Linked DNA regions of Rattus norvegicus. The protein of the gene in region 3 interacts with the protein of the main gene of each other region in a biochemical or structural test. Links are inferred from orthologs where the notes say so. Each region holds a gene or a part of one and is shown on either strand. Other genes may lie near its edges.

The links. The genes of interacting proteins can lie anywhere in the genome.
Region 1: of the proteins of Cdh1 (region 3) and Ccnb1, one has a biochemical effect on the other in vitro, tested with the Homo sapiens proteins (3 studies listed by BioGRID). The link is inferred for Rattus norvegicus from reciprocal best matches to the Homo sapiens genes CDH1 and CCNB1.
Region 2: the proteins of Cdh1 (region 3) and Ctnnd1 form a complex in vitro, tested with the Homo sapiens proteins (5 studies listed by BioGRID and IntAct, with this or other methods). The link is inferred for Rattus norvegicus from reciprocal best matches to the Homo sapiens genes CDH1 and CTNND1.

Annotation. Positions count from the first base shown.
Region 1 is NC_086020.1:33,651,674-33,657,857, forward strand, and holds the start of Ccnb1 (G2/mitotic-specific cyclin-B1), read right to left. Parts: upstream 3,553-6,184; 5' UTR 3,452-3,552; coding exon 3,431-3,451; intron 2,948-3,430; coding exon 2,786-2,947; intron 2,692-2,785; coding exon 2,542-2,691; intron 209-2,541; coding exon 26-208; intron 1-25. UniProt on the Homo sapiens protein: Essential for the control of the cell cycle at the G2/M (mitosis) transition.
Region 2 is NC_086021.1:90,137,638-90,143,598, forward strand, and holds the start of Ctnnd1 (catenin delta-1), read right to left. Parts: upstream 3,553-5,961; 5' UTR 3,274-3,552; intron 1-3,273. UniProt on the Homo sapiens protein: Key regulator of cell-cell adhesion that associates with and regulates the cell adhesion properties of both C-, E- and N-cadherins, being critical for their surface stability.
Region 3 is NC_086037.1:51,399,548-51,405,713, reverse strand, and holds the start of Cdh1 (cadherin-1 precursor), read right to left. Parts: upstream 3,537-6,166; 5' UTR 3,411-3,536; coding exon 3,363-3,410; intron 3,060-3,362; exon of another isoform or gene 2,952-3,059; intron 2,612-2,951; coding exon 2,485-2,611; intron 1-2,484.

The sequences.
Region 1 (6,184 bases), on a different chromosome or scaffold from region 3:
GGCAGACGCTAATGACAATACTGACCTCCAGTTGTCTGAGGTAAGCATAGATATCTTTCACATATTCACTACAGAGGTTTGGATCACCACCATCGTCTGCATCTACATCACTCACTGCAAGAATCACATCGGAGAAAGCCTGACACAGATATTCTTCGGCAGGTGCACATCCAGATGTTTCCATTGGGCTTGGAGAGGGAGTATCAACCTTGAAGAAAAGAGACTTCATGAAACATGCTACATCATGGGAGCGTAAAGTCATCATCCCCAATTCAGTAAGTCATTCTAAATAAATGTAATTCATTTTATTAAACGAAAGGTATTTCAGATTCTTTCCCCCAATTTCTTTTTGGGAAATGATTCATACTGGGCTGGAGTGATGGTTTTAGCTATAAAGAACATTTGCTGCTTTTGCCAAGGGCTGGTTTTCTATTAAAAAACCAGGTGACTCAACCTTAGTTCCAGGATATCTGACGACCTCTTCAGATCTCCCTGGGCCCTGCACTCATTGCAAACTGATATCTCACTCATGAAGAAAAAAACAAACCATAGAACAAAACAAAACAAAACAAAACAAACAAACAAAAAATGGCAGGCTGGAGAGATGCCTCAGAGGTTAAGAGCACTGATTGCTCTTCCAGAGGTCCTGAGTTCAATTCCCAGCAACCACATGGTGGCTCACAACCGTCTGTAACGGGATTCAATGTCCTCTTCTGGTGTGTTTGAAGACAGCTGCAGTGTACTCACATACATAAATCTTTAAAAAAAACAAACAATTCTAACAATCAGAAAACAGTTCTAACAATCAGAGCCAGGCATGGTTAATATAAGCTTTGATCCCAGCACCTGGAAGGCAGGTCTCTGAGTTGAAGCCAGCCTGGTCTCCATAGCAAACTGCAAGCCAGCAAGATCTGGTCTCATAAAAAAATAAGCCCCAATTTAGATTCAGGTAGTTTAAAGTACGAAGAAGTGGGCTGGCAAGACGGGTAAAGGTACCTGTTGCTAAGCCTAACAACTGAGTTCAACCCCCAGGAGATCCACATGGTGGAAGAACTGACTCAAAAGCTGTCTTCTAAGGGGTTGGGGATTTAGCTCAGTGGTAGAGTGCTTGCCTAGGAAGCGCAAGGCCCTGGGTTCGGTCCCCAGCTCCGAAGGGGGAAAAAAAAAAAGCTGTCTCTGACTTCTCTGTGTATTCTCACACAAAATACAAGAGAGCATGGGAGCTGGAGAACTGTCTCAGCAGTTAAAGAGCCCTTGATACTCCATGAGGACCAGAATTCAGATCCTAGCATCCACACTGGGTGGCTCACAAATGCTTGTTACTCCAGCTCCAAAGGAGTCTCTCTTCAGATACATACGATTGGGCACACACAGGACTCTATAGATACTAACATGTAAGGCAAGTCAAAGGAAACGAGCAGGTAAGTGATAATAAAGCCATTTATTCATCAGCATCATGTGAGGTCAATTCAAAAGAATGCCAAGCCTTCAATTATCAATTAATCAATTATTCAGGTGAATACAAGTTCTTGATTACAAACCCAGAGAGCCCTAGCTAGCCTTGAGCATTCAACCCTCCTGCCTTAGAGGAAGTACTAAAATCACAAACATGCACCATCACACCTAGTAGTAAAATCTGGCGGTGTGTGTGTGTGGTTTTAGTACTCAAGGACTGAACCCAGAGCATCCCTATGCTAAACACAATCTAACAGGCTACGAACTCAGGTAAACTTCCATTTGGGGCTTAAATGTTAACCCATCAACATTAATCCATCATCTTTTTTTTTTTTAAAGATTTATTTATTTATTATATATAAGTACACTGTAGCTGTCTTCAGACACACCAGAAGAGGGCATCAGATCCCATTACAGATGGTTGTGAGCCACCATGTGGTTGCTGGGATTTGAACTCAGGACCTTTGGAAGAGCAGTCAGTGCTCTTAACCTCTGAGCCATCTCTCCAGCCCTATTTTTTTTTTTTAAACGGTTTCACTAGATGCAGCTCTGTCTGGACTGGATCTTACTATATACACAGCCCGCCTTGAACTTAGAGGCCCACCTGCCTCTAGGCCAGAATGCTGGGATTGGAAGATGTGTTACCAAGGACCCTATTTAATTAATCTTATTTCTGTCTGAGATTTTTTTTTCCTTTTAAAGAAACCAATTAAAAGATCTAGCCTGAATATATCACCCCAGCATTGGAGAGGTGGGAATCTCAAACTCAAGGACAGCGGAAGCTATACAGTTACACAAAAAAGAAAATGATTATGCCACCTCTGGATCCCAGGCCTCGAGGGGCAGGCAAACCTCTATGTTCCAGGCCAGCCAGGAGCACACAGTGAGACTGTCTACATAAAACAAGAGCCCTACCATATTTATCTGCCACCATCTGAAGCAGAGTGCTAATACTTACCCTAGAGCTGTTAGTGCACGTAAAATGCACTAACCACTCAATAAACAATATATTTAAATGCCGTCGTGTGCATCAACATGAAATGAAGTCAGAGAGGAGGAATACACTTTTTAAAATGCTAAGTTTACCAAAATAGGCTCAGGAGAGTGTTTCACTTCCATAACAGGTTCAGGCTCAGGCTCATCCAGTTCCACCTCTGGTTCGCACACTGGCACCTTGTCCACAGGTTTTGGTAGGGCTTTAACAGTAACTGTTCCAGAACCTAACTTTTTTGTTTCCTGTGGATGAAAGTGAAAGAACAGAATGTTTTTCCAACGGTGACACCTAGAAGATGGGCTTTTTCAGGATAACTGGACCAGGAAGATAAGTTACCTTTTTGAGGGGTATTCTTGACTGTTCGCTGACTTTATTACCAATGTCTCCAAGAGCAGTTCTCGATCTCAGCAGGGGTTTGGAGGCAGCAACTGCCACAGGCACACGCTTGGCGCCTGCCATGCTGACCTTGGCCTTATTTTCTGTGTTAATTTTCGTGTTCTGAAAGAAGTAAGAACCACTTGAGAGAGGATCCATGGCGGCTCCAGGAAGTCATGGGTTAATTAAGGCGGGACCCCACTATGGAAAGCAAGGGCTCTAGGATCTATCCTCCAGCCCTGACAAGCAGGTTTCCACCCAAAACGTTCACCTATTATCCAATTTCCCTTTAAGTCCCAAGCAATCCTAAACACGGTGAAATTTACATCGGAAAGGTAATCATGAAAGCCTCCTTGTAGACAGCTCTCTGGGAAGACTCTGGGCAGACAGACTCTGGGAAGATTCACTCTGGGCCTTCATCATTAAAAGCACACCACCCTACTCCCTCTAAGTCCTTCAGCCCAGATATGTCCCGAAGTCTTTTTTCACCCTCCAGGGAGGGTCCTTAGCTCCTCCATTGGCCGGAACCTTCCGGGCATCCCCTTCCCCTCCTGGCCGCCGCGGCCTTCTCCCACAGCGAGGACCGCAGCGCCCGGCCCGACTCACCCTAGTGACCCTGAGCGCCATGGCTCCTCCTGAAGCAGAGGTTCGCCGATCTGAGAAGACACCCTAACCTCTGGCTGCCCACACCTAAACACTAACAGCCGTTCCCCCACAGCACGCCGGGAGGAGTCTGCCGGGCCTGGGTTTAAACCCCGGGCCGCTCCCTCCTCATTGGTCAGTTCATGGCACTCGCTCTCTTCCCATTGGTGCTGCGGGTTCCCGTAGAATGCGTTTCCTGGGCGATCCCGCGATCCCAAGTTCGGCGAGGGGTGGGGCCAGAGCGAGGCTGTAGCTGGCAGCACCGCCCACCCCTCGTGAGGTCAAGCTCTGCGCCTGCGCACTCGCCTCTTTGCTGCCACCTGCTTTAGGTAGGCTTGGCCGGCAATGCCCACTTGTGTGCTGTCCAAGGCAACTCCGTTGGACCTTAGGAAAATGACTGTGGGGCCGCCACGTTTCTGGAGCACGCATAACAGTTTTGCTGTCCTATTTATTGTTTCTCTTTTTAAAAATAGATTTATTTATTTAGTATATATAAGTACACTGTAGCTGTCTTCAGACACACCAGAAGAGGGCATCTGATCCCATTACAGACGGTTATGAATGAGCCACCATGTGGTTGCTGGGATTTGAACAGGATCTCTGGAAGAGCAGTCAGTGCTCTTAACCGCTGAGCCATCTCTCCAGCCCCTACTTACTGTTTCTCATCCTCATCTACAGAAGTGCCAGTACTATCTTAAGAGTTCGCGAAAGCTTTGAAGCAGAGACAGTCTTTAGTATGATTGTTCCGACCGCTGCCTGGGATGGATTTTGAGGTTTATAGCATGAAGTTATAGCCTAAGCAAATAGATTAACATACCAATCGCCCCAATAGCTACTGCCCCAGGGACAAAAGAAAATGTGCCACATGCTTAATTTCGCTCCTGTTTAAGATTACTTCAAAAATACAGTTTTGTAGAATCTATTCTATTTAACAAGAATCCATAATGCAGCACTCCATCCTTCTACCTCAGACACCTTATTAAGGCTAAATAACTTCAGTGAAATCTTTTTCCACATTAAATTTCAGTAACATCAATGAGGATTTATTTATTTGTTGACCAGGATCTCTTGTAGCACAGGTTGTTGGCATTCCTTCTATGCTCTGCCCAACAGTTACCTAGCAACAGCCAGATAGGCCAGTTTGCTATAAAAAAAGAACTGCTTCTCTCCTCCTCTCCTTTCCCTTCCCCTCCCTTCCCCCTTCTCTCTGTCCTCTGTCCCCTCTCTTTCTCTGTCTCTATTCCTTTCTCAACTCCCTTTCCCATGCCCCCAAATAAACTATTCTGTACTAAACCCATCATGGCTGGTATCTGGTGTGAAGGGTATATGCTTCAGCATCGGTCCACTGAGGTATTCCCTCCCACCACACCATACTGTGCTCTGTAAAACATATCCTTGGTTTTATAAAATACATCACAGGTCGAAGTCCCTATGTAGCTGAGAATGACCTTAAATCTCCTGTTCTCCCTCCTCTACCTCCTCAGTGTTGAGAGTACAGCATACAACTTTACACTGGATTTATGTCACACTCATGATTGAAGCGAGGATTTCAAGCATGGCGGACAAACACTACCAATGGAGAGGTATCCCTAGCCCTCTAGTAATCATTGCTATGCAAATTAATATATTTAGTAAGCAAATACTATATCCCAGGATTGCCTCCTTATCCCCCAACGTGTGTGTGTGTGTGTGTGTGTGTGTGTGAACCTGGTTTGTTTTATTTAAGACAAGCACTTCTCACACTTGCTTGAAGCACTGTGCTCCAGGTTTCCCAGCGTTTGTGAGCTTGTCACCTATGCTGGGGTGGGCCTAGGTGACGCAGTTGTCTTCGAGTCATTTCTGCTTCCGCGAGAAACTATAATAAAACTCTTTGGTTCACCAAGTTGGACTTTGGTGGTATCCATACTTTGGTCTGTCTTGAGCTCCCTATCTGGGGTGAGTGGATGTGTGTTTAGTCACGTAACAGGTGTGATGCAAAATGATGCTCACGAACTCACTGCAGTTACAGGTACCTGTACAAAACCATCTGATTGGGCTTATCGGTATTTCATCACGGGGCTCATGAAGCCCCATCCTCCCTCCCTCGAGGGACCACTGAGGGTCTGAGGTAGGATAAATAACTAAAGGTCAGCAGGAGCAATATACCAGGATAAGGGGGAGGTGTCTTCAGGATATAACACGTTCAAGGGCTATTATAAGGTCTTTTCTCAAAAGAAAAAAAATAGAAGAAAATGAAAGAGAAGATAAGATCCAGGGACCTTTGAGGTAGACTGTGGACCTAAACAGTATAAAGGTCCATGATTCACCCAAGAATGATACCCCATACTCAAATCGTATGTAAACACAAAGAGTGTTTACGCACAAGTCCAGCATGCTAGAGTCTCCCATTACCAACACAGAGAGACAACCCAGTGAGCTTGCAGGCCTGATTTAAAGCACATTAGGGAATTCTGAGGTAGGTAACCTTTATGTTAATCTGTTGGGTCCATTTTACCAGGGTGTGGAAGCTGGAAACTTGCTGGAGACATCTGGAAACTGTTTCTGGGGAGGTCTGGAAACTGTTTCTGGGGAGGTCTGGAAACTGCTGCTAATCCATTGTCCTTGCCTCATGCCAGGTGGCAGGGCAGCTTCTGAGGCCTGGACTTGCCCAGTTCTTGGAAACAGAGATTTAGGCCTAGTCTCCCTAGCTGCCAATTTGAAGCCTGTCATGCAATCAGC
Region 2 (5,961 bases), on a different chromosome or scaffold from region 3:
AACTGAAAACTGTCTAGAAGACAAATAACAAGCAAACAAAGGTTGAAACATATCCCAGAAGTTAACAAGACATGGTCGTGCATGTCATTAGTCCCAGCACTTGGGAGGCAGAGGCAGGTGAGTTTCAGTTCTGTGAGTTCAAGGCCAGCCTAGTCTACAGAGTTGAACCCTGTCTCAAAATAAACAAACAAATAAGAAAGCAGGACTGCTGATGAGCTCAATGGCAGACACCTGCCTCACCTGTGTGAGACCCCAAGTTCAATGCCCAGCACTGCAAAAGGGGGAAAAAAAGAGACTAATGGGACAGCAGTCGTGTGTATTTATGATCCCTGCTTTTAGGACTAAGACATCATCTATGCCAGCATACTCAGCTCTCACTGGCTCTAAGGAAACTAGCCTTTTACATATACTATCCGAACTTGGTCCCTATAAGGAACAACTAAAACAGTCCTGCCCAGAGCCAGGCTTCATTTATTTTAGTCCCAGCTGTTATGTCCATTCTCTTTGGGTAATAGCAATGTAACCCTGGTTAAATTCATCGACTCTGTAGTCAATCAGACCAGGGTCAATCTCGACCTCCACCGTTTAAAGAATGAGTTGTTCAGCAAACCCCAGCTTCATTATCTCAAATTCATTTCTAAAAAAAAATGGTTAGAAATTAGGTAGTCTACAAAAAATGCTTAGTACACTGTAAAATAAGACAATGACAGGGAGGGGACGGGACGGGAAGACCCAGAAGGTACTAACAGAGGGCCGTCACCTACCACAATAGAAAGCAATAAATTATACTGAGCTAAATATTTTGCTATTGCAACTGATAGTGATCTAAGCTGAATTTATCAGCCTGCATCCAGTCTCATCTACCCCTAAGGAACAATTATTTGATAAACCTACGGCTGGCATGTGATTACAGGAAGCGTCCGTCTCCTTTCTAAGGTCTCAAAGAGTCCCAATTTTAGACCAGCTGAGACCATGTTGACCCCCCTGGCTGTACATACTCGACTCCTAGGAAAGGCACTAGAACTCTAATCAACCACACACACCTGAAACACAGACCCCACTACCTTACTCACATAACAAAGAAACTAACTGAATTCCATATAAAGCAAACAAGGAAAGAAAACCTGTACATTTCATACTCATCTATCATCATTTTCACCGCAAACCCCAAATAAGAAGCACAGAAAATAAGTAGCAAAATAAAAGATTTACTTATCTGTACCCTTTCAATTCCTGGAAGAACCAGGGAAGGTGAAGTAAAAGACAAAAATCTTCCATCTTACCACCTCAAAAGGCTCTGTACTATAGGCAGGCCAAACAATGCCTTAGTTTGTAAATTGTCCTGGACCCTAATGCTGCACAACACCGCTACACAAAGCCCAGTTTCAAAGCCGGACCCAGATCACCAGCAGTCATCCAGAACCTATTTTCAAACTGCCTTTGTACTCCTCCTTCAGACTCTCATCCCTCCCCCTAAAGGCTGAGTGAGAAACCGACACTCTGGCAGCAACAGACCGACCCTCCAAAGACACACTAAGAAATCTCCTTGGAAAAACATTTCAAAGGAAAATTGAAAAATTGGAAATCAGAACCATAGCCCAACAGACTGTACATAGTGACTTTTTCTTTCTTTTCAATTGCCTATTTTAATCCTGAGGTCCACACGTCCAATGTTTTTCTGTAATCCTTGCCTAAATTATATGGAAAGGAAAAGAGGAACAAAACTTGTTTCCTCCAGAAGCCACAACCGCACAATGACAAAACCATCCTGCAAGGAATGTCTTCCCTGTAGAAAAATATTCAAGGAAATGTTCTAGACTAAAAAGAATGGGGGCAGGGACTATGAAATCAGAAGATTAAAGATTCCTATCAGTTTAAAGGTAATGAGGAGCTTATACTTTAAGACCCATCTTGCTACAATTAGAGCAGTATCTATTCCAGCTCTAATTTCCATTCTGATTCCCATTTTAAAAGAAGAAAGTACCTGTGTTCCAGCTACTGATGAGTTGGCTATATAATTACCTAGGATCTGGACATTTCCAAGATGTACATACACAAAGCAAACCAAGCAACTCTTAAGGTCAAGTATAAAACATGAGGCAGTCACAGGCCTTTAGCTTTAACAGTGTTCTAATAAGTTAACTGAGCAAGCAAACAAAGACACCTCTAAAAGCATCTTTCCAGTGGCTTAAAAATAAAATTCCCTTTGTAAGGCGTTCTCAAATGTGTTTTGCAAACTCTAAGTTTTCATTAAGTGGTTTCTCTTCACCTGTCTATTCACAACCTACAAATCTTTCAGAGACCAAAGGGCTGGAAAAGACTTTCAGGTGTTCTGTGGTTTCACTCCGGTCAAGAGAAAGCATGATTAGAATTTCCTTATCCCTTTAAGGGCCAAACATTAGCATATCTGCAAGTTTAACATACACCTTCACAAATCTGTGGCATTAAAAGGACTTTTAGGACAAGAAAGAAAAGGGGGGAGAGAGAGAGAGAGAGAGAGAGAGAGAGAGAGAGAGAGAGAGAGAGAGAGAGAGAGAGAGAGAGAGAAAGAGAGGGAGGAAAAAAAGTAGTGGCAATTCAGTTAACAGTTAACATAGACCCATTTGTTTTCACAAGGCAAAGCAAAGAGTCTCCTAGGCAGGCGACAGCAGCTCCCACCCACCACCACACCTGGAAAAGTGAAAGAGGGATCCACCCAGGAACTGCAGAGTTGAAACCCTTCTGGGCCGTTCACGTTCAGAAGGAAAAAACAATACCATTGAAATTCGAAAGCTTCCTGCAACTTTCCACTGCCACAAATACAAAGGTGAGGGGGCTAAAAGTTCCGAAACATGGTAGGAGCCATCTGTACGACTAGCCTCCGACCAGGACAAATTCCTTTCCCAACCCACACACAACATGCCAAAAAAACAACTTTTTGAGCTCTGAATAAAAGAGTATGTTAGCTAAATCCAGAAAAAAATATAAAAGTACACACAAAAATGTAATTTACACAACTTCTATCCCTGGTTCTAACCAGCTTCCGGTATTAGACCTAGAAGTTTGTTTCTAGGTCTTGTACGTTTTACCTTTTCCTTAAATACCAAGAAACCTCCAAAGTATTAAAAGTAGAAAAAATAATTGATTAAAACTCACCGTCAGCATTAACAGGCTTCCTCGACCTTTTAAAAGTCCCTCCAGTTACCATCAAGAAAAAGATTCCACTTGCGTTATCCCTTTCCCAACTAGTTAAATACATATTTTAATAAAAGGAAAAAATTTAAAAGCACACACCTCAAATGTGGACTTCTAAAGCCAGTCCTTTTAAGAAACAAACCCAAAGCTTCACCAATGTGCTGAGAAAGACGAATCCAGCGAGGTTCGCCGCCTCTTCCTCTTCCTCGTTCCACGATCTTTCTGCCTTTCTCCTCTCCCTTCGTGTCTGTCGGCCTCTCTCGCTCTCTCGCTCTCTCTCCCTCCCTCTTGCTCGCCCTCGTTCTCTCTCTCCCTTTCCCTCTCTCTTTTTCCCCTCAGATCCAACACCTAAAATGGAAGTTGCACCCAGCCAAAGGCAAGGGAGCCTGGGTGGTGACAAACTGATCTGGCAGCCCTACCCTAGCTTTCCTAAGTGATGTCAGCCCCTGCGAGCTTCCAATAGGAACCAGGCATAAATCAGGGAGCTGACCTTATCCAATAGGAAACTTTATTATAGGAAATTAAAAAAAAAAAAGGCGAGAGAAAGACGAGGAAGTTTTATATATATATATTATATATATTTAAAGCGGAGACTATACAATCTCTGAGGAATTACTGCAGAGCTGGGGGGAGGGAGGGAGGTGCTAAATAACAAAGCTTTTTAGAACGGCACGCCTAAGCCTCAGTTCTCTTTGAGGAGGGTCTTGTTCCCTTTTCCTACCTATCTGGGTGGGAAAACAGAAAAGAGCTTACTTTACCTGCTGCGATTTGGTTTGCTGTTTTCTTTCTTTAAGCATTTCCCCAAAGGAAGCTAGGAAAGAAGGAGGGAGAAATCCCAGAAACAGGACTATGTGTTGACTGAGATGGTAGAAAATATCTAAGACAAACCCTCAATTTCATTGTTTTGATTTGATTGAATTAAAAGCTAATGAGGAAAATAAATGCTTAGACTTGTTAATACTTTGTTAGCCTCTCTGCTCTAAATTAAAAGAAAGCAGGATCCACTAAGCTGTTGAAGAACAGCACTATCTTCCCATCAAAACAATATGGGTCTGCCTGGGACAATAGGCAGAATCCAATAAACAAAGAGTTCAGAATAGTTAAGGATACCGTTAAAATAACTAAAAGAGTGCTATTTTTTAATCAACTCAAAATCACCTGGCTTTTTTTATTTGACCTAAATATTATAGGGGTTTTCCTCTGAATTCCTTTAAAATTTAGGAGGGGAAGGGGGTGTGTTTGTTGTTGGATTTTGTTTTTTCTCGGGTGGGGAGGTTGCTTTACTTTAAAGACAGGATCTCACACTACCCCAGGCTGGCCTCAAACTCAAAAGCCTTGCGCTTTTGACTTCTGAGTGATAGGGTTGAAGTTATATTACCACCCTGTAAAACTGGTATCAGTTATTTACTAATTACTAAATGAAGATGATGAATTGGAAGGTTTCTCCTTATGTATTTTAATTAGATTTATTTATGTGTGCATAGGTACACATGTACCACAGAAGTCATATTCAGGTCAGAGAACAATTTTCAGGAATCAGTTCTTTCCTTCCTCCATGTGTGTCCAGGGATTAAATTTTGCTCATTATTTTGGTGGTAAGTACCTTTACCTACTTCTAGTCCTATTTTTAAAATTATTTTTATTTTATTTTTTGAGACAGAGTCTCATTATGTATCCCTGACTGGCCTAGAACTCTAGATATCTAGACGAGGTAAGCTGGCTTTGAGCTCACAGAAATTCCCCTGTGTCTGCCCCCTGAGTGCTGGGACAATAGGTATGTGTTCCTATTGGCTACTGCAAAATGTATCTGCATAAAGCTTTCATAATCTATAATGGTGATATATTGGCTAAGAAGAGAGACTGCAGTCAAACTGCTGGCTTCCAGCTATACCTCTACAAGGACACTAGTTCAGATGTTTGCACCATTATAAGACCTTGGCCAAATTATATAGTCTCTGAACCTCAGTTTCCTTAACTAGAAAACGAAAATAACTCTTTCTCACTGGAGACACGCCTCAGTGGATAAATGCTCGCTTGCTGCTCAACCATGAGGACCTGGTTCAGATGACAGCACCAATGTAAAAAGCCAGACATGACTATACACATGTTTATGGATAGGAGGTAGGGATCCATGAGGGTCACTGCAGTTTGCTAGTTAACAGCCCAGATCCAGACTTAAAGTAAGTTAGACAGTGATAGGGCAGAACACTGGATGTCCTTCCCTACCCTGTACAACACACATCACATACCCACATCTGTTGTAAGAATAAAAGTACACATAAAAGTCACTTTTGCTTTTCAGTCAGACCTTGTTACAATTCCTACCAATGTGAAACTCCCTACATAGCCCAAAATGGCCTTGAACTTCCAGTAACCCTATGGCTTCAACCTACAAAGTACTGGGTTTACAGAGATGGGCTACATTATCTGACAATATAAATGCCTTCTAAAATGTCTAGCAAGCATATAGTATAAACTCACTAAGAATAAACTATTGGGGGGCTGGTGAGATGGCTCAGCGGTTAGGAGCACTGACTGCTCTTCCAGAGGTCCCGAGTTCTACTCCCAGCAACCACATGGTGGCTCACAACCATCTGTAATGGGATCCAATACCCTTTTCTGGTGTTCTGAAGACAGCAGTAGTGTACTTACCAATAAAAAAATAAATAAATAAATCTTTAACAACAACAAAAAAAAAAGAATAAACTATTGGCCTGGAGACATGGTTCATCAGTTAAGAGCACTGGCTACTCTTGCAGAGGACCAATTTCCAGCACTCACACGGTG
Region 3 (6,166 bases):
TCCCACCTAAACCACCGGTGGTGGCGGGGCTCTCTACCTCCCACTGAGCATGCTCTCAGCGGGGAGGCTCTTTAACTCCCACAGGGCAAGCTCTATCTCCATCAGAGCCAGCCACTCTCAGCTCCCCCTACCTCAAGACCTCTGTCCTCAATTTTCACAATGGACTGTGTTTTCCCCGAAAACGCACACACATATCCCGCGCCCCCTCCCTCCTCTCCCATCTCTCTCCTTCCTTCTTCTTTTTCTTTCTTGTTCTTTTAGGAAAGGTCTCATCTCACTCGGTAGTCAAGGTAAATCACTACATAGACCAGGCTGACCTCAAACGTCCAGCTTTTAGCAAGCCTCTGGCCTCAGAGCTTCCCCCCCTCCCCCAAGAGCTGGTCACAGGTGTGAACCACCAGGGAGGCAGCTCACACACTTCACTTCCGGAATGCTGGTCACAGGTGTGAACCACCACACCAAGCAGCAGCACACATTTTCACTTATTTTTGTCTTCTCTTCGGGAGAAAAGGAAACCAAGAAGAGGAGGACCTGCAGTAGATGCTTCAGGCAATACAGAAGCCAGTCAGGCTCGTGAGTTCCTTGAGGACTGGAATGGTGTCCACCCTCCAGACATTCTCATTTTTACTTTAGGTAAATGACTCACTCGCCTCACGGGACCAAAGTGAACAGGTGGTACTATCAGTTTTAAGTGATCTTGTCACCGATAACCAGTGGTGTTAGTGACTATTCACTAGCCCTTAGAGGTGCAAAATAAAAACCAGGTTAGTGCCAAAGTGAGCATGTAATCCCAGCACAGTCTGAGGCAGGAGAATCACATAGGGAGATCCTGTCTCAACAAACAAACAAACAAACAAACAAAAAACCCGACCAACACACAGGTGGTAAAGTTCCTGGCTAACCTGTAACAGGCCATTACAGGTCTCATCCTCAGCGCTGCTGACATAGGCGGTCCTAACTGAGGCACTGCATTGGGATCCCTGATATATAAGCGCTCCCATGTCTAAGCCTGCTCTGCTCCACACTGAGTGACATCTACTTATTCTCAGACACTCACTGCCACCCTCGGAAACATCCTAGGCCACTCATCCCTCACCAGTCCATCCCAAAGTGCCACTGAAGGGCATCCTGAAATGCTCTCAGCAACCTACCAGAGGCTCAAATTATTCCTTGGGCAGGAATCAAGTGGAGACTGGCTGAAGGATCCCTAACCACTCCAACCTCAGGCCCACGGGGCTGCAGCCTTTCTGGACCCTTAGAAAGTTCCACCAATGGGTTGGAGAGATGGCTCAGTGGTGAGAAGCACTGGCTGCTCTTCCAGAGGTCCTGAGTTCAATTCCCAGCAACCACATGGTGGCTCACGACCATCTGTAATGAGATCTAACGCCCTCTTCTGGTGTGTCTGAAGGCAGCTACAGTGTACTCACATACATGAAATAAATAAATAAATCTTAAAAAAAAAAAAAAAGTTCCACCAAACCAGTCAGGTCTCAGAAAAGCAAGTAAGACTAGCCAATCCCAACGGAGCTGCTGTTTCTCTGTAAAATGCACCACCAAACCTGGACCCAACTCGCAAGGCTCACAACAAAGTTTTAGGCGCCATCACGGTTGCTGTAGATTGTTCAGGTGGCTTATGGCTGGAAGAACAAACGTGGTCAAAGTATTCCCAGAAAGGGATTGGGTGAGTTCTCCTTCTAAAATTATTCCCTTTTGTTTATCATACTTTTGGGATCAACTAAACTCCTCATGAGAGAAGCCATTTTGGTGCCAAAGAAGCATTTGGAAATTAGGGAAACCAGTTAAAAAACAAACAACAACAACAAAACACCTGGTCCTCTTGCCTTGCTCCCAGCCATGCCCAACAGTTAAAGAAAATTCTAGATTATCACAGTAAGACCTGAATATATATTGAGTCCTTGAATATATGAACCAGAGCTACCTTTTTTCTTAAAGAAAGTAAAAAATAAATAAATAAATAAATAAAGTATTCCTTGGAAAAGCAATACCTGTATCAAGTATTTTTATCTTTATGAACAAAAACCACAAGTCATGTTCATGAGTTATGAGTCAGTTCCTCAGTGGCCATACCTAAATAGTGGGAGTCAAATCCCGGTTCAAATGCCTGCCCTGTTGACCCCGTGAAGTCACTCTTTGAGCCTCCAATTGCTCATCATTAAATGGATATACAGTTCAACTGGCCCTACCCAGCAGGTTTGGCGGTCTGGAATGACAGACTGGCTCCAGTAATCGGTTGGAGAAATACCGATGACCTCTAAATACCCTTGGCCCGTTTCTGCCCTGTATAAATAGCAGAGACAGACATATCTGCCTTGATCAACCACAATCAATAAATAGACTCCCAAATCTGCCTAAATCCCAAGGGAGAGTTCTGCCCATTCCATCCTACCGACAAAGTAGCACAATTTCTTGGCGCCTTCCCTATCCGACCCCACTCGGCCGATTAACGCAGTGGAGTTCCCTTACCTCTGCCCAGGATGTGGCCTCTCTCCAGGTGCCTCTCCGGCACCAGGAAGGTGTAGACCTCGGAACTGAAGCCGGGACGGCAGGAGTCAGACTCCGACTCCGGCTGCTGACAAAGCCACGAGGAGACCTGGGGTGGCGAGAAGGTAGACAAACTGGTGACTTGAGGGGGTTCCCAACAGCCCACACCGAAACCAAGAGTAACCCTTCCCTCGCCTGGGCGGTCGGGATTTGTGGGAGGACCCCCTCGGGGCAGACCGGGACGCAACCCTCTCAACCCGAAACCAGCCTCCAAGCTCAGCTCCAAGAGCCTTTGGGGGAGGGGGCATCTGGGGCCACCACCTGGCAACCGGGTCTACCTTTCTCTCCTAGCTCCATTTGCATCTCACTGGAGACGCCTTTACTCTTTCCGGACACCACTTTCTTAGACCGCGAACGGTCTCAACCAACGCCTCGGACTTCCCTCTTACCTTAGAGAGCCCATCTCCAATCTACGGTCCCTCCCTCACATGGCAGGTGCTTTTTGTGGTACTAAAATCCCTTTCCTTATCTCGGGTCGTCCGCGCTCCTTCTGTCCCCCACCTTCTACAGGCAGGCCCCCATCCTAATACACGCCTCCTCCGTCCGTCTCAAACAGGGACCCTGCTCAACTCGGGGTCCCGGGAGACGGCAGCGTGGCGCGCCCCCACCTGGGAACCTAAGCGAGAGGCGGCCCCTCTGCGCTCTCCTGGACCTCCCTCCCTGCACAGCGTAGCCTCCAGGGCGATCTGGCCCTCTGGAGCCCAACTTTCTTGGAAGAAGGGAAGTGGAACCACAGAAGGCAAAAAAAAAAAAAAAAAAAAAGCGAAAAAGCGAAGCGGGTCGTGGGACCCTCCACATACCTGCAGCAGGAGCAGGAGCGCGGAGAAGCTGCGGCACCGGGCTCCCATGGCTGGCCGGGCAAACGCCGAGCAAACACTGAGCTCGGGTGCGGTCGGGCAGGGCCGGGTTAGGCCGGGCTGAAGTCTAGCAGAAGTTCTTGAGAACTCAGTAGTGCGCCGCGGCTCCCACACCAGTGAGCCAAGCAGAGGCTGCGGCCGCCAGGTGAGCCCGCAGGCACCGCCCCCGGCGCCGCTGATTGGCTGGGGACGCACCTGCAGGTGGCAACCAAGGAGCCCGCACTGCCCTCAACTTCCTCCACCCGTCTGTAAATTGGTGACATGGGCCGGGCTTAGGAGACTTCCTTGCTTCCTTATTCCTCGGTCGCTCGAATCCTAGCCTAGCTGTGCTCTGGCCCACTGAGACTTGCAGTTACAAAAGACTTTACTCTTCATCTAGGTTTCTGTTTTGTTTGTATTTATTTTGTTTGGTTAGATGAGTTTGTTTGGTTTGATTTACATTGTCTTAAGGATTTTAAATGACATTTTAACGTGTGTGTGTGTGTGTGTGTGTGTGTGTGTGTGTGTGTGTGTGTGTGTGTCGCGCGAGGGGAGGCATATACTCGCAAACGCTTGTGCCACAGATGCCGTTTTCGCCTTTACTGACTGAGCTATCTCTCCGGCGGTTTTCTTTGGTAGCCTTTTTTGTTTGTTTTCCAGCCCAAGTAGCCTCAGCCATCCTCTTGTTTCAGCCTCTCAAATGCTAGGATTTGGGGCACCAGACCAGACTAATCATCTAATTTTCTAACACCTGTCCCCCTCCCTTTTGAGATACAGTCTTGCTATGTAGTCCAGTGTGGCTTTGAACTCACTATTGTCTCAGTCTCCTCACTTCTGGGATGGAGCTACAGGGACCCACTACCCGGTAGCTCCACTAAAATCTGTTCTCTTAACTTCAGTTCTCAGGAGGTTAGTGAGCCAGGGAGGAAGCCAATGGATTAGCATCCCCTGGAATAGGAATTACAGGCAATTTCAGTGCTCAGCGTGGGAACTGAACTCTGAACCCCTGGAAGAAGAGCAAGTCATCTTAACTCCCAAGCCACCTCCCTGGCCCCTTGTTTGTCTGGTTATTGTTTGTTTGTTTGTTTGTTTGTTTGAGGTCTCTCTCAGAACTCACTATGTAGACCAGTCTGGCCTCGAACTCGCAGAGCTCCAACTACTGCTACCTCCCAAGAGCTAACTAACATTAAAGGCATGTGCCACTACGACTTTGTGTGTATTTGTTTTCTGAGACAAGTTCTTCCTAAGCAGCCCAGACTGGCTTTAACCTTAGGATCCTCTCGCATCAGCATCCTAAATGTCGGGAGTATGATATGTACCACCACGCCCGTCAGGTTTTTTGTTTCGTTATTTTTATTTTACATTTTTTATTTTTAAAGTTTTATTTACATTGGTGTTCCCCCCCTCCATGTATGTCTATGTGAGGGTATCAGATCTCCTAGAACTGGAATTACAGACAGCTATAAGCTATCATGTGGGTTCTAGGATTTGAACCTGGTTCCTTTAGAAGGGCAGCCAGTGCTCTCAAACAGAGTCATCTCTCCAGCCCTCTCCAGTCAGTTTTGTTTTGTTTTTCATGCTGAGCTGGAAGAGATGCTTTAGTAGTCTCTCAAATCTGTTATTTACCTTCAACTTGATATCATGTAGCAAGTCAATGCTAAAGCAAAGACCAGAACTCAAGCTCTCCTGCCCCAGAGACAGAGACTTTTAATGCCATAGCCATAGCACAGCCATCAGCACCTTCATCAGAGAATCCTGTCCCCGGTACATAATTTTAGGATCAAAAAGAAAATAGACAAACGTTAGATCAGTTTCCCTGTCTGCCTATGGCCTGCCGTGTCTGTGTTGCTTGGCTACATGAAAACAAAGGCACCTCTCACTCCTGTTGGCCTAGCCTTGGCAAAACAGAGATTGGGGATGTGGCTCAGTTTGTCAAGTGCATGCATGAGGCCCTGGGTACCATCCTCAGCACTGTATAAACCAGTCATGGTGGTGCCTCTGTGTAATAGGCACATAGGGGTTACACATGGGCAGGAAGATCATAACTTCAAAGCCATCCTTCTCAGCTATGTACTGGATTTGAGCCCCGTGAATCTCAACAAGCAACCCAAAACTACAAAATAATATTCTTGCCAGTCACTAGCTGTGCAACCTTGGGCAAGTCCTCATCTGTGCTAACGCCGAAGCAATGACTGAAGTGTGGAGGTTGTGCCTTTGAAAGGTCCAGCCCAATCTGACCATGAGTATTTCCCACCGTGCTAACGGTGAACCTGAGTCCACAGAGAGCACAGCCTCATCCACAGAGGTGCTGTCTCTAACCCACACAACCCCCACTGATTCCACCAGCTCTCCCTGCAGGCTGACCCCTCCATTTCAATGGCTTTCCAAGCACACACAGAGCAGCCTTTTGGATTTCTGCTTCTTGGCTCCCTCTGCTTCTTAGCCCACCAGGCGGCTCTGAGGGAGAAGGCTCTGGTATTTCCTTTCCCACTGAAGCTCCTGCCCAGATCATGCCCCGAACAAGATAATGGAAAAAAAAAAGAAAGAGGCGTTTTCTCCCCCATGGGGCAGCCTTGTCGTTTATTTTTTTTTCCTCCCAGTTACATAAAAAAATACATATTTTATATCATTGCTGGGTGCGGGGAGTCGTTAGGGCTTTGCTTTCTTTTGGCCAGCAAGCGCTGGCTTTGGAACTCTGTGGTGACTCTTCATTGACTCTTCCATTACTCGGTGATAATTCAATAAAAAGGATTTTAGACAACAATTAA